Drosophila melanogaster: one gene and its partners. Changing the gene in region 3 together with the main gene of any one other region gives a genetic interaction. Each region holds a gene or a part of one and is shown on either strand. Other genes may lie near its edges. The genes, in order: Taf4, Dsor1 and Ras85D.

Region 1 (3,752 bases), on a different chromosome or scaffold from region 3:
TTTCAGATTTCAACTCAGATATAAGTTTCAGATTTCACATTAATGAATTAAGGATATTTTTTAAGCGTAAAATACGTTATCAAGCCTGGGACTAACCCCATTTGGATAAGGATATGGGAATTTCGGGCAGCGAGGTAGACAGATGAAAGCATAATAAAAGTATACAACCAAAGTGTGTGCGGCCACTACTATCCGATTCGAGCGAGGAATTGAGGGGGTTTTGATTGGGGATCAGATTTGGACGAAGTGATACGCCCGAGTTGCGATCGCCTAGCGCCCGAAGAGTGGGTTTAGCTTTAATATGGATACCTGATTGATGGTCTTGGTCATGGTTACGATTCCTGCTGGTGCACTTGAGACTAGACCCGCCGGCAGGGTGACAGCATGGTGGTTGGATTTAATAACTAGGGTTTGTGTTTGGGTGGCACCTACGGATTGCGTCTGCTGTTGCTGCTGTTGTTGCTGTTGCGACTGCTGCTGCTGTTGGACATGATGCACCTGCTGAAGTCCCTGATGCTGACCACCGATCCCCGCCTGGATCGTCTTGATGGTGGTGGTATTCGGTAGCTGGGCCGTGGAGATGACCGCGCCGGGATTGCCGGCTATGCTGATGGTGCCATTGGGCAGCGGCTGGCTGGTGAAGGTGATGCGATTGCCGGCAGCTGTCTGGCTGGTGTTCATCGTGCTGTGTGGTGTTTATGTTATTGGCGAGTGTGTTTCTCCTATTCCACTGACTTCTGTGTGTTGGTGTGGGCGAGCGATCCTGTTCCGATCAACTAGTTGCGCACATCCTGTGTTGGTGTTGGCGGAGTTGTTGCATGCTGTGCGCTCCAGAAGCGAACTGCAATGCAAGGGGAGGCGCTTTTAGTATTTATACAAGATTCGGCTCGAGGCGGTGGAGAAACAGGTAGGCGGTGGAGGTGCTACCTGACCGCCGGCTACCTGGCGGCCGTGCGCCATAAACCAGATGCTGCGTACACCTGGATGCCGCGCACAGGTAATCGCATTCACCTTGGCCAAAAAAGCGGGTGCTCCGCTGAATTGGTGCTGCGCTGGCTCACTCGCACTCGCCTTTGCCGTCACTGTCGTCGGCCTTTCTCCTGGCGCATCCGTTGCAGTCGTTGTCGCGTGTGTGTTATCTCGCTAATTCGCTGCCTTTTGTTTGCGCCGCTAAGCCTTTCTACACTTTTCCCGATCGGCGGGTTTTCCTGCGCACACACACACTCGCGCGTGCTCGCACGGACTGATTGTTGAGCACTGGAAGAATGCTTTATTTTGATTATTTTGATGTACAAAAAATTTGGCAGCGACGGTGCCAGAACGCCGCCATTTTCACGAATGCGCGTGCAAAGCGAAAATCGAGGCTGGTGGACGTTGCCAGATAGCGTGCGAAAAACACGTAACCAACGATCTGGCAATGCCGCTCGTTTATGCGGGTGGCGAGTGCGCAATATTCGTGAATGCACTAAATTTAAAAAAAAGTTCAACTCGAAAGTGGAGCACTTAATAATTGATGATTTCTATTAGGAAAAATTCATATTTTTCGAAAATCCGCATAAAAATATTTAAAACAAAAAGAAAACAAATGCATCTTGTACATGTCTCCAGTGGCAATATGGAGCATCGTGCCAGCCGTAGTATTAGTAATTTCTACTTTAGTGGCCAGCGGGTGGTGGCATAAACCCACGTCCGTGTCTGTGCGACTGTGTGCGTGTGTTTCAGTATAGGTTTTGTACAGCCTGCAATGTCGGGGGAAATTTTCTGGGCCCTGTGGCAGATGCACTCACTTCAATTCATTTTGCGTTCAAACTCGGTGCACTGGGGCGCATTTTAAACGATTTCCCGTTGCGTTTCTCTGGCGATTTAGCCGAAAACCGAGTAAATATTGTTTACGGACCGCCGAGGTACGGACGAGTTGTGCAGTGTGACCGTTGGCGACAATATCGTCGTGTTAAACGCGATACCGAATTAAAATACTAGAAAAGAAGTAGTGACTTGGATATCATGTCGATTTTTTATAGCCTTGTTGCGTACATTTTCAAAACCAAAAACGTTTGCTGGCATTTTGATGCCATCGGATTTTAGCCGCATACCAAATTAATTATATGCTCATTAGTTTTTATATGGGTAATAAGCCACAATTTTTAAGGATCAAAATAATTTATTTTAATACATTCGAATACGATACATTTTAAATCCTTTGAACTATTATTAGAGTACTGTTTAAAGCTGAATGTTAGGTAATTGAATAAATGAAGAATACGCTCAAAAATTAGAAACTACTAAAACTATTATTAGAGTACTGTTTAAAGCTGAATGTTAGGTAATTACAGAATTGAAGAAAATGCTCAAAAATGTTATTATTTTTTTATATTTAAACGCTATTTGCTCATATACTTAAATCATATATATATTCAAACGAAGGAGTAGTACTTTGTAACGGTCAAACAATCGATAGTTCCACTTTGATACCGAACTACATGCCCCACCACCAACGTGATGGTATTTTTGTTAGTTTTCGGTATCTTTGAAATGCTAAACTTCAGCACAACGGGCAAAATAATTCTGTAGAGCGAGTTAAATACATATCGTACAAATAGCGGTCTTAATAAAATAGACCATACCAATTTTAATATTAAACAAATTCCGTTAAATAAGCAACATATATAGTGTAATGGTATATTTTCCAAAAACTTCCAAAAATAAAAAGTGGTATTTGTTTCAAGTCGGGCTCAACATAGTATGATTATCCGATTACGCTGCGGTCACACTAGTACCGGCCCATAGAGACGGAAGAAAAATTTTATTTAACCGATTTCAGGTAATTGCCATTTGCATTAACTGTTTTTTAACCATGCACAACTAGGGCTAAAATGCCGTTGGAAAAGAGATCGCCACGTGTGCTCACTCGCATGTGGGCCAGACACGCGAAAAGTGCGTCCAAAGCTGCGGGGTAAAAATCGATAGAGAAAAGCAGATGAAAAACGGATGGGAAAGTGGTGGGGGGAGCTCCTTTCTCAACATGACGTGACTAAGACCACTTTGCTTTTACAGCTATAAACAGGCTATTACTCGGAAAGCACATATAAATTCCCGAATAAATCCGCATTCGAAGTCCCATAAATATTGACAGTCAGTCGGATAGGACAGCTAATGTAAGTAGAGCACTTGGTGGGGATGGGGGCAGGTCCAAAATGCAAATGCAAATGCCAATGGTAAACTAGTAAACCGCAGACAGATTGTCAAACAAATTCGATTTTCGTAATTGCAGCGCACCGCGACAATGGCCAACAACAACTACGCCGGGTTTAACTACGGCGGCACCCAGTACAATACGGGCCAAGTCTCGTACCCGGCGGTAACCAATGCCACCTACGCGAATGCGGCCGCCTATCAGAATGCCGCTGTGGCCGCCGGACAGGGTGGTTATGGCGGAGCAGCAGGAGCGGGCGCTGGCGCCACCTCTGGCCCTGGGGCGGGGGGTTATGGTGGCTACGGCGACTATCGAAGTGCCATGCAATACGACGCCACCAAGACATTCTATCAGCAGTCGCCGGCCAGCTACAACGCCTCCGGTTCGACAGCCTCGGTCAGCAAGACGCACTACTCGGCTCCGCCAGTCAAGAATCAGGTCAAGGGCAAGATGGACAAGTCGAACGGTGGTCCCAAGCCCCCTAGTTCGGCTCCTCCGGCGGGCAACAATTACAGTGGCTATGATACAGCACTCTACAATGCGGCAAGCATGTATGTGG
Region 2 (3,752 bases), on a different chromosome or scaffold from region 3:
CGCCGGCGGCGTGGAATCCACCAAATCCGAAGAACCTTCGCAGGAACGCACGCCGCTCTTTAAATACGAGCCCGGGCTGATTGTGGAGTGCTCCCTGCTAAAACCATGCACCAATGTTAAAGAATTTAAGGCTGAAATGCGCCAATATCCGGATATTAAATATGTGGATATTAAGGAGGGCGACCAAGTGGCCCTACTACGTTTGGGCACGCCTGCCGCAGCCGAGGAACTGCTACGCCAGGTCAACTGCTCCGAGAGGCAGCTGAAAGTGCTCTCTGGCCAGCAGGAGACGCTCTATTGGCGAAAAATCGAGCAGGATCGCGAGGCGAAACTCTCGAAAAAGGTGCGCGTGCAGCAAAAACGCGGTCGCGAGAAAGTGGGCAAAATGCTGGGCAAGCACATTAAGTTTGATGATGGCGATGATGAAGTGCAGGCGGCCGCCATGGACTGAGTCACTTTCAGTTGAGGGGTGAGTTTGGATTTCATTTCAGGAAACTCTATAATATAAGCTATATAAATTTATAAATGTAAGCAAAAGATACATTTAGATCTAGCACAAGATTTCGTAATATTAGAGTAATATTGTAAAAACAAATTGAATTTTTAAAAAAGAAACTTCCTAGTGAAATTGAAATAAATCTTCTGAATGAAACAAACCATTTATTTTTACAAATTTGTCTGATCTTACAGGAACGAGAAAGAGATGGTTATATTTTCTCTTTCACTTATTTATTGATACGATCAAAGAATTGTGCTAGATAAAAGATACAAAAAAGAACTTTTGGCATTATTAATAAAATACATTTCCTAATTAATTATGTACACGTTTTTGAGAAGATCTTGCTATTCCTAATGGTTGCATATTTGCATTCGTTATTATGTACACTGTAATGGAAAAGTTAGCTTATGACCTATTAACCCCTGTAAAACTAAACTATATGTAAAGTGAGCCATCCGCTGGCCCCAAATAATGCATCGAGATGAGCAGGACATCGATGATGGTCCAGACGCCGAGGCCGCCAAAGCTGAACAGCTTTCCAATCCCTTCCTGCCAGTGGCCCAAGTAGAATCGATCGGCTCCAAAGCCCCCTAGCGTGAGGCTAATCAGCAGGGCTGTGCTCCACCGATAGCCCTGCGTCCAGTTGCATCGCAGGTTGCGGGTAAAGGATCGATTGCCGAGGCAGAGCACATCATGGTGCACGGTGCAGTTGGTACGGAATAGCTTATCCGTCGCCGAGTTGCAACTGGAGCGCTGGCCACAGCTCTGTTGCCACATTTCCGTTTGGTAGCAGTATCGGCAATTCATTTGTCGCTGGAAACTCCGTTCGCCCAGGCACTGGACATTGTTGATCACCTCGCAGGTTACATTCAAGTCCCGGCCGTAGATGCATCCATGATTGTAGTTGCAACGGATGCAGGGAAACTGCAGGCGATCACAGGGCGTTTCCTTATCGTACGGGCATAGCATGTTGTTGTTCCCATTGCTGCTACTGCTACTGCTGCTGCTGCTGTAGGCGGTTATGTTGTCCAGGAGTCCACCGGCACCTCCTCCACTCTTGGCCACCATGCTGGACACCAGGGGCGGCACATACACCTCGTTATCGTTGGCATTTCCATTGCCATTGCTCGCATTGCTGTTATCCTTGTGATCGCCTTTTGAGTCCGATAAGTCCATCTGGTTGCCACCGCTGGCCGTTTCGCTGTTCCTGATCCCCGTCAGCACGAAGATCATGATCAGGACAATGGCCGATCGCATGTTGACCACAATGCACTGTCGTTGGAGCCTCATTTTGGTCAGATAGAGCGGGGAATACGCCGGAAATGTTATTGTTTTTCCCTTTAAGAAAATGAGTGGGGTGGGAGAGTGTGACCGTATACGCGTGGCATGAAAATATCAACCGCGAATGCTCAGGAGAAATTTCTTTAAAAAGCGTATCGAATAGTTTATAGATATGTTTTGGCTCAATTAAATTGGCTAAACAGATAAGTATACCTCTCCCCTCATCGTAACAAATTAGTAATATCTAATCCTAATATCCTTTCCATTTAAGTTGTGACCATTGGCCGCTTTAGTCGTAGGAGTGTATTAACGGTATTTGGTAATCGCGACATCTGGCCATACCGCACCGTCTGCGAAAAAAACCCAAAAGTCGCCGATTTTGGCTGATTATTGCAAAAATAATATTAACTATCCGTTTGCTGTTCGTGTGCTCGGTTCGGGTGTGTTAAAGTTAAGCGCAACGCGAGGAATTGGTGCAAATTTACCAGCGGCTGGACACACAAAACGAAACATTCGCACTTGGCCTCCCTTCGCACGCCCCCTCGCCGACGCCCCTCGCCCCTCACACCCTTCAGCCGTTCGTCGGACGCCGCTGTTCGTAGTGCGTTTTGTTGTTGTTTCCACTGGAACACTCTCTATTTGTATTGTTTCATTTATTAGTTTTTTTTTGTTGTTGTTATTGTTGTGTGCTTTAACTTATCGGTAACGGATAACGGTATCGAGAGATATATATTATATATAGTAAGATGTCGAAGAACAAGCTGAATCTGGTGCTGCCGCCGGTAAATACGGAGGCAACTGTTGCCGCCGCCACAGTGGCGCCGACGCCGCCATTCAAAACCCCCTCGGGCACAGAGTAAATATTATACATAATATCCTTAATAACTGACTGGTTTTTAGGCCACCCATTCCAATAACACCGCATCCCCCCTCCCTCGCTGTTTCCCCTTCCACTCCTCGTTTTCGGTTTCCTACTCAGTGGTAAGATAATCCTGTAGTTTTGCGAGTTAGGTGGGTAATTAATATCCATCAATTGATCCAAGGAAATCCCATCCAGCTGGAAAGAAAGAGACAGTCGGAGTGAAAGAGCAGGTACTCTCTCTTTGTTTGTTGGTGTGGGTGGTGCTCCTTTCGTGTGACGCACAGGTACACAGCGAGAAAAAACTTACTGAGTAAATACAGTAAACTGTTTTAGTGCTTTTTGGATTAATTAACGGGATGACAAAGTCAGTTTCGAAGATAAATAGAAATTATAATTTAATAGTCCTACCTTTATCGTATATTTTTTTGTGAGCACCAAAATGTAGGCAACATAACATAACACAATACATATGTAATTTGATGTGTATGTTTGTGTAGTTTTCTTATTATTAGGAGAAACTTCGGCCCGCCCCTCATCCCATCCCCCACTTTCAAATCCCATCCATTGCTTGCACTTTTTACATTTTCGTTTTGGATCGCAAAAATTCATTAAGAGGTTAAATTAAAGCACACACAGTTTGCTGGGGAAGCCCAAGACGAGCATCGATGCGCTGACAGAGACGCTGGAGGGTCTGGACATGGGCGACACGGAACGCAAGCGGATCAAGATGTTCCTCAGCCAGAAGGAGAAGATCGGCGAGCTGTCCGACGAGGATCTGGAGAAGCTGGGCGAGCTCGGATCGGGCAATGGCGGCGTGGTGATGAAGGTCCGGCACACGCACACACACCTGATCATGGCCAGGAAACTGATCCATCTGGAGGTGAAGCCGGCGATCAAGAAACAGATCCTGCGCGAACTGAAAGTCCTGCACGAATGTAATTTCCCGCACATTGTCGGTTTCTACGGCGCCTTCTACAGCGACGGCGAGATCAGTATCTGCATGGAGTATATGGACGGTGGATCACTTGACCTGATCCTCAAGCGGGCCGGTCGAATACCAGAGTCCATTCTCGGCAGGATCACGCTGGCGGTGCTCAAGGGCTTGAGCTA
Region 3 (3,752 bases):
CTTCTGTTTGGCCACCCAAGACGGGTGCATGCCATCGGTGGGCAAAGGAGCAGCAGTAGCGGTTAATTGATTGATACTTGGAGCAATAATTTCCGCCGCCTGGCCGTCGTCGCCGAATGTAATCTTCTTGCCTCTAAAATCACCAATGATTGGTTTCTGCTGTTGCTTAGCCAGCCAGGAGGGATGACGATCATCAGTTGGCTTTCTCGCTTTGAACTCTGGCTGTCTTTCCGGTTTCTCCCGATATGTGTTCGACCGTCGATCCTCATTGCGGAACCTTTTGACTGGCGGCGGTGCCTGTTCCTCATCAGCTTCGCTGTCATTGTCCCCGGAAAGAACCACGGCGCTGGACAAGTAGGGCTGGCCTGATTCCGTAATGAAGAAGGGATCAACGACATGTGTGGGACGATTATTGTCAAGTTGTGGTTCTTCTTCATCGATACTTGGCTGCCTTTCTAATCGTGGCTTAGGCTTCTGCTCTCTGGCTGGTTTTTTCTCGAAGGGTTTTGGCTTAGATTCTTTCGGTCTGCCTTCTAGTTGTGGCTCTGCATTATTCTCCTTGATTGTATTTAAATTCTGCTTTTTGGAACTGAGCTTAGTTATCTCCGGGTTGATCTGCTCATCAAAAGCTTGTTTTTTCTGAAGGTTTCTTTCTTTTTTGGCTGGTGTTTTAGGTGTCTTTTCCTTTTTGACTTTGAGAACTGGAGAATTTTCAGTTTTTGCAAAAGACTGTGGTATTTCCTGATCATTTACTTTGCTGACTTGAAGAGTGGGCGTTTCCGCAGTTGCTCCATTAACATCTGCATCCACCACTTTGTTCTGCTCTAACCACTCCAGTCGGTTTTTGGTTTGGGCCTTCTGCTCCTTCAGCTCCTTGCGCTTCCTCTTCCGCTCCTCAGTGCGTTCTATTTTGGCCCTTCGCTTGCTCGTCTCTAGGATCTCCTCACGCCACTTGGCCTCCTTATCGGTGGTGCTCAGCTTCAAGGTTTCCACAAACTTGTCCACCAGTCCGTGCATCAATTTGTTTAGCCGCAGCATGGCAATGCCCAGTTCATCCGGCGTGGAGCGCTCGTTAGCAATCACCGCATTGGGATTTGTGCCCTCCTGCAGGAGCGACTGGCGTACCATATCCATATATTTTAGAGCCTTCAACTGGGCCAGGCATTCTGTGTTCTTGCGTAAACGAATCTTTTCCTTTTCACTGTCTGGATTTTTGGCCAGAGCCTCTTTTGTCTTTCGCAGCTTTTGTACGATTTTGGCGATGGTCTGGGCGCGTGCCTTTTGAATGACCTTCTTGTTGGATATCACCTGTAAAAGTTCTTTTTAATTAAAACTCTATAATTTTAAATAAAATCGTTTATTTACCAAATTATTGAATTTCAATCTGTCCATGCTGTTTTCGTTACAGTGGTGGTTGAAATAATAGACTCAGGCTTGAGTCCGTGCTAAGAAACGGTGATGCCAGCCCGTTGAACTTAAATTAACAATTATTAAAAGCAGAAAGCGTCTGCCAGTTTTTACAGAAAGCTGTATTGATCAAATCATTTATTAGTTTAAGCAAATTATAGAGAGTCGACTGAAGTGCATCCACCTCTTTAGATTAGTTTTCATATAGCAATCGCTATTGCAAGTCCATCGATGGTGCCGGCCAGAATGCAGCCATCGCTATCGATAGTGCCATCGGCTTGGTGCCAGCTCTAGTATCTTCACAGCTACGTACAGCCTAGATTTCATCTTCATTTCACATACGGATTTATTGTTTTCCTGCGCTGTTAATTGCAATTACCGCACGGCAATTAAATTGGTGCCATCGAGGAGTACCGCCTGTCGCACCGTTAGCCGCGAAAGTGACGTGAAACGTGCCCAGCAACTGCGCCGCGCGCGAGAAGAGAGAGGCAGAGTATTGATAGAGAGGAGCGGAGCGGAAAAACAAGGAGGAGCTAGCTGAAGAGGCAGCAACAAAGAAGGTCCGCAGCCCCGGCAGGCAAAAGAAAAATAATAAAGAAAAGGGCTAAAAACAACGCCGCCGAATTAGCAAATTCACCTAGTTAACAACTCGGCTATGGGGGAGACTAACTAATTTGCATTGAGCGAATGGGTTTTAATTTTAGTTTGAGTCATTGATCTCTTTTTCCCATTTTTTTTTGTGTTGCCCGTCTGGCTGTGTGCATGCAGTGGTGCGTGTGTGTTTGTGCGAGTAAGCGCCTAGTCACAGTGACTCAGTGACGTGCATTAATTCCTGCCTAATTATGCGTTTAATTTATTTTAATCAATCTTAATTAATAATTTACTCCACTTGCAGCCCATACACGCACAGTCACCCACACAAACACACGCAACAAGCGTACGGAGAGAGAGACTGCATCTGCGGGCGCTTCACAAGAGAGTAAGCATCGATCGCGAGAAAGAGACTGTTACTGTGACATTTGACTACGGCAAATCGAAAACGGACGCCACAGCCAAATGACGGAATACAAACTGGTCGTCGTTGGAGCCGGAGGCGTGGGCAAGTCCGCGCTCACCATCCAGCTAATCCAGAACCATTTCGTGGACGAGTACGACCCCACAATCGAGGACTCTTACCGAAAGCAAGTGGTTATCGGTGAGTTATATGTACTTAGATCTGGCAAAGCTAGGGCTGCACAGGTCCAAATACTCTAGAGATTTCTGCACCCTTTCGCTGGTTTGGTTTCCCGTTTATACTAGAAGAGACCTTAAGAAGTTGCGATATTCAAATGCATTTTATATTCCCCTGCAGATGGAGAGACCTGCCTGCTGGACATCCTGGACACCGCCGGCCAAGAGGAGTACTCGGCCATGCGGGATCAGTATATGCGGACTGGCGAGGGATTCCTGCTGGTCTTTGCCGTCAACAGTGCGAAGTCCTTCGAGGATATCGGCACCTACCGTGAGCAGATCAAGCGCGTAAAGGATGCCGAAGAGGTGCCCATGGTGCTGGTGGGCAACAAATGTGATCTGGCCTCGTGGAACGTTAACAACGAGCAGGCAAGAGAGGTGAGTACCGGCCTTCAGAGTTCCGAGCGAACATTCCGTTAATTATGGTTGTTCTCAGGTGGCCAAACAGTACGGCATTCCATACATTGAGACATCCGCCAAGACGCGCATGGGCGTGGACGATGCATTTTACACACTGGTGCGCGAAATCCGCAAGGACAAGGACAACAAGGGGCGGAGGGGCCGCAAAATGAACAAGCCGAATCGTAGATTTAAATGTAAAATGCTCTAAACGGCCACGCATTGGTTATTATTCACTTTTTATTTCTTCAAATGTCGCCTGTTTGTCTGTATGTGCGTCGGCGAATCGCCGATCGTCCTGGGCTCGATGGTTTGTCCATTTTGGACACACAATGCGAAAAACACACACATGTGGGAGCGTGTTGGTCGGTGCAATTGTCAGATAAAAGAAGAGAAATTGTAATTAATTTAAGTAACTAGAGTTTTATGTACGTCGAAATGATTTTGTGAATGTGTGTGTTTTGTGTCGTTTGAAAGGCTGCGAGGCGCCCTTTTAAGAGTATTAACAATAACAAGCAAACAAAAACGAACGAAGCAAATCGAAAATGAAAATGAATATGTACCTCTACATAAAAACTATGAATACTGTTGTAACTGCCTTGGTTCAGCTGCTATATCCGTTTGTTTTCAACCAGCACTTAACTTGATTCTATGTTGTTTGTACTTCAACAGATACTCCGTGCTTAAAACCGAAACGCGATGTAAACAAATATTGT

The links.
Region 1: of Ras85D (region 3) and Taf4, changing one suppresses a phenotype caused by changing the other (phenotypic suppression), as found in Drosophila melanogaster (3 studies listed by BioGRID).
Region 2: of Ras85D (region 3) and Dsor1, changing one suppresses a phenotype caused by changing the other (phenotypic suppression), as found in Drosophila melanogaster (4 studies listed by BioGRID).

What each region holds. Positions count from the first base shown.
Region 1 is NT_037436.4:16,111,401-16,115,152, reverse strand, and holds the start of Taf4 (TBP-associated factor 4), read right to left. Parts: upstream 1,942-3,752; 5' UTR 1,788-1,941; intron 1,364-1,787; exon of another isoform or gene 1,269-1,363; 5' UTR 1,012-1,268; intron 846-1,011; exon of another isoform or gene 842-845; 5' UTR 682-841; coding exon 310-681; intron 1-309. Other genes in the region: Zn72D (Zinc-finger protein at 72D), read left to right, coding at 3,284-3,752. UniProt on the Drosophila melanogaster protein: TFIID is a multimeric protein complex that plays a central role in mediating promoter responses to various activators and repressors.
Region 2 is NC_004354.4:9,245,273-9,249,024, forward strand, and holds the start of Dsor1 (downstream of raf1), read left to right. Parts: upstream 1-2,069; 5' UTR 2,070-2,526; coding exon 2,527-2,636; intron 2,637-3,269; coding exon 3,270-3,752. Other genes in the region: Larp7 (La related protein 7), read left to right, coding at 1-451; amx (almondex), read right to left, coding at 935-1,789. UniProt on the Drosophila melanogaster protein: Required downstream of Raf in the sevenless (sev), torso (tor), and Drosophila EGF receptor homolog (DER) signal transduction pathways.
Region 3 is NT_033777.3:9,511,003-9,514,754, reverse strand, and holds the start of Ras85D (Ras oncogene at 85D), read left to right. Parts: upstream 1-1,687; 5' UTR 1,688-1,967; intron 1,968-2,302; 5' UTR 2,303-2,463; coding exon 2,464-2,602; intron 2,603-2,758; coding exon 2,759-3,015; intron 3,016-3,073; coding exon 3,074-3,247; 3' UTR 3,248-3,752. Other genes in the region: Rlb1, read right to left, coding at 1-1,308, 1,366-1,392. UniProt on the Drosophila melanogaster protein: Ras proteins bind GDP/GTP and possess intrinsic GTPase activity. Plays a role in eye development by regulating cell growth, survival of postmitotic ommatidial cells and differentiation of photoreceptor cells.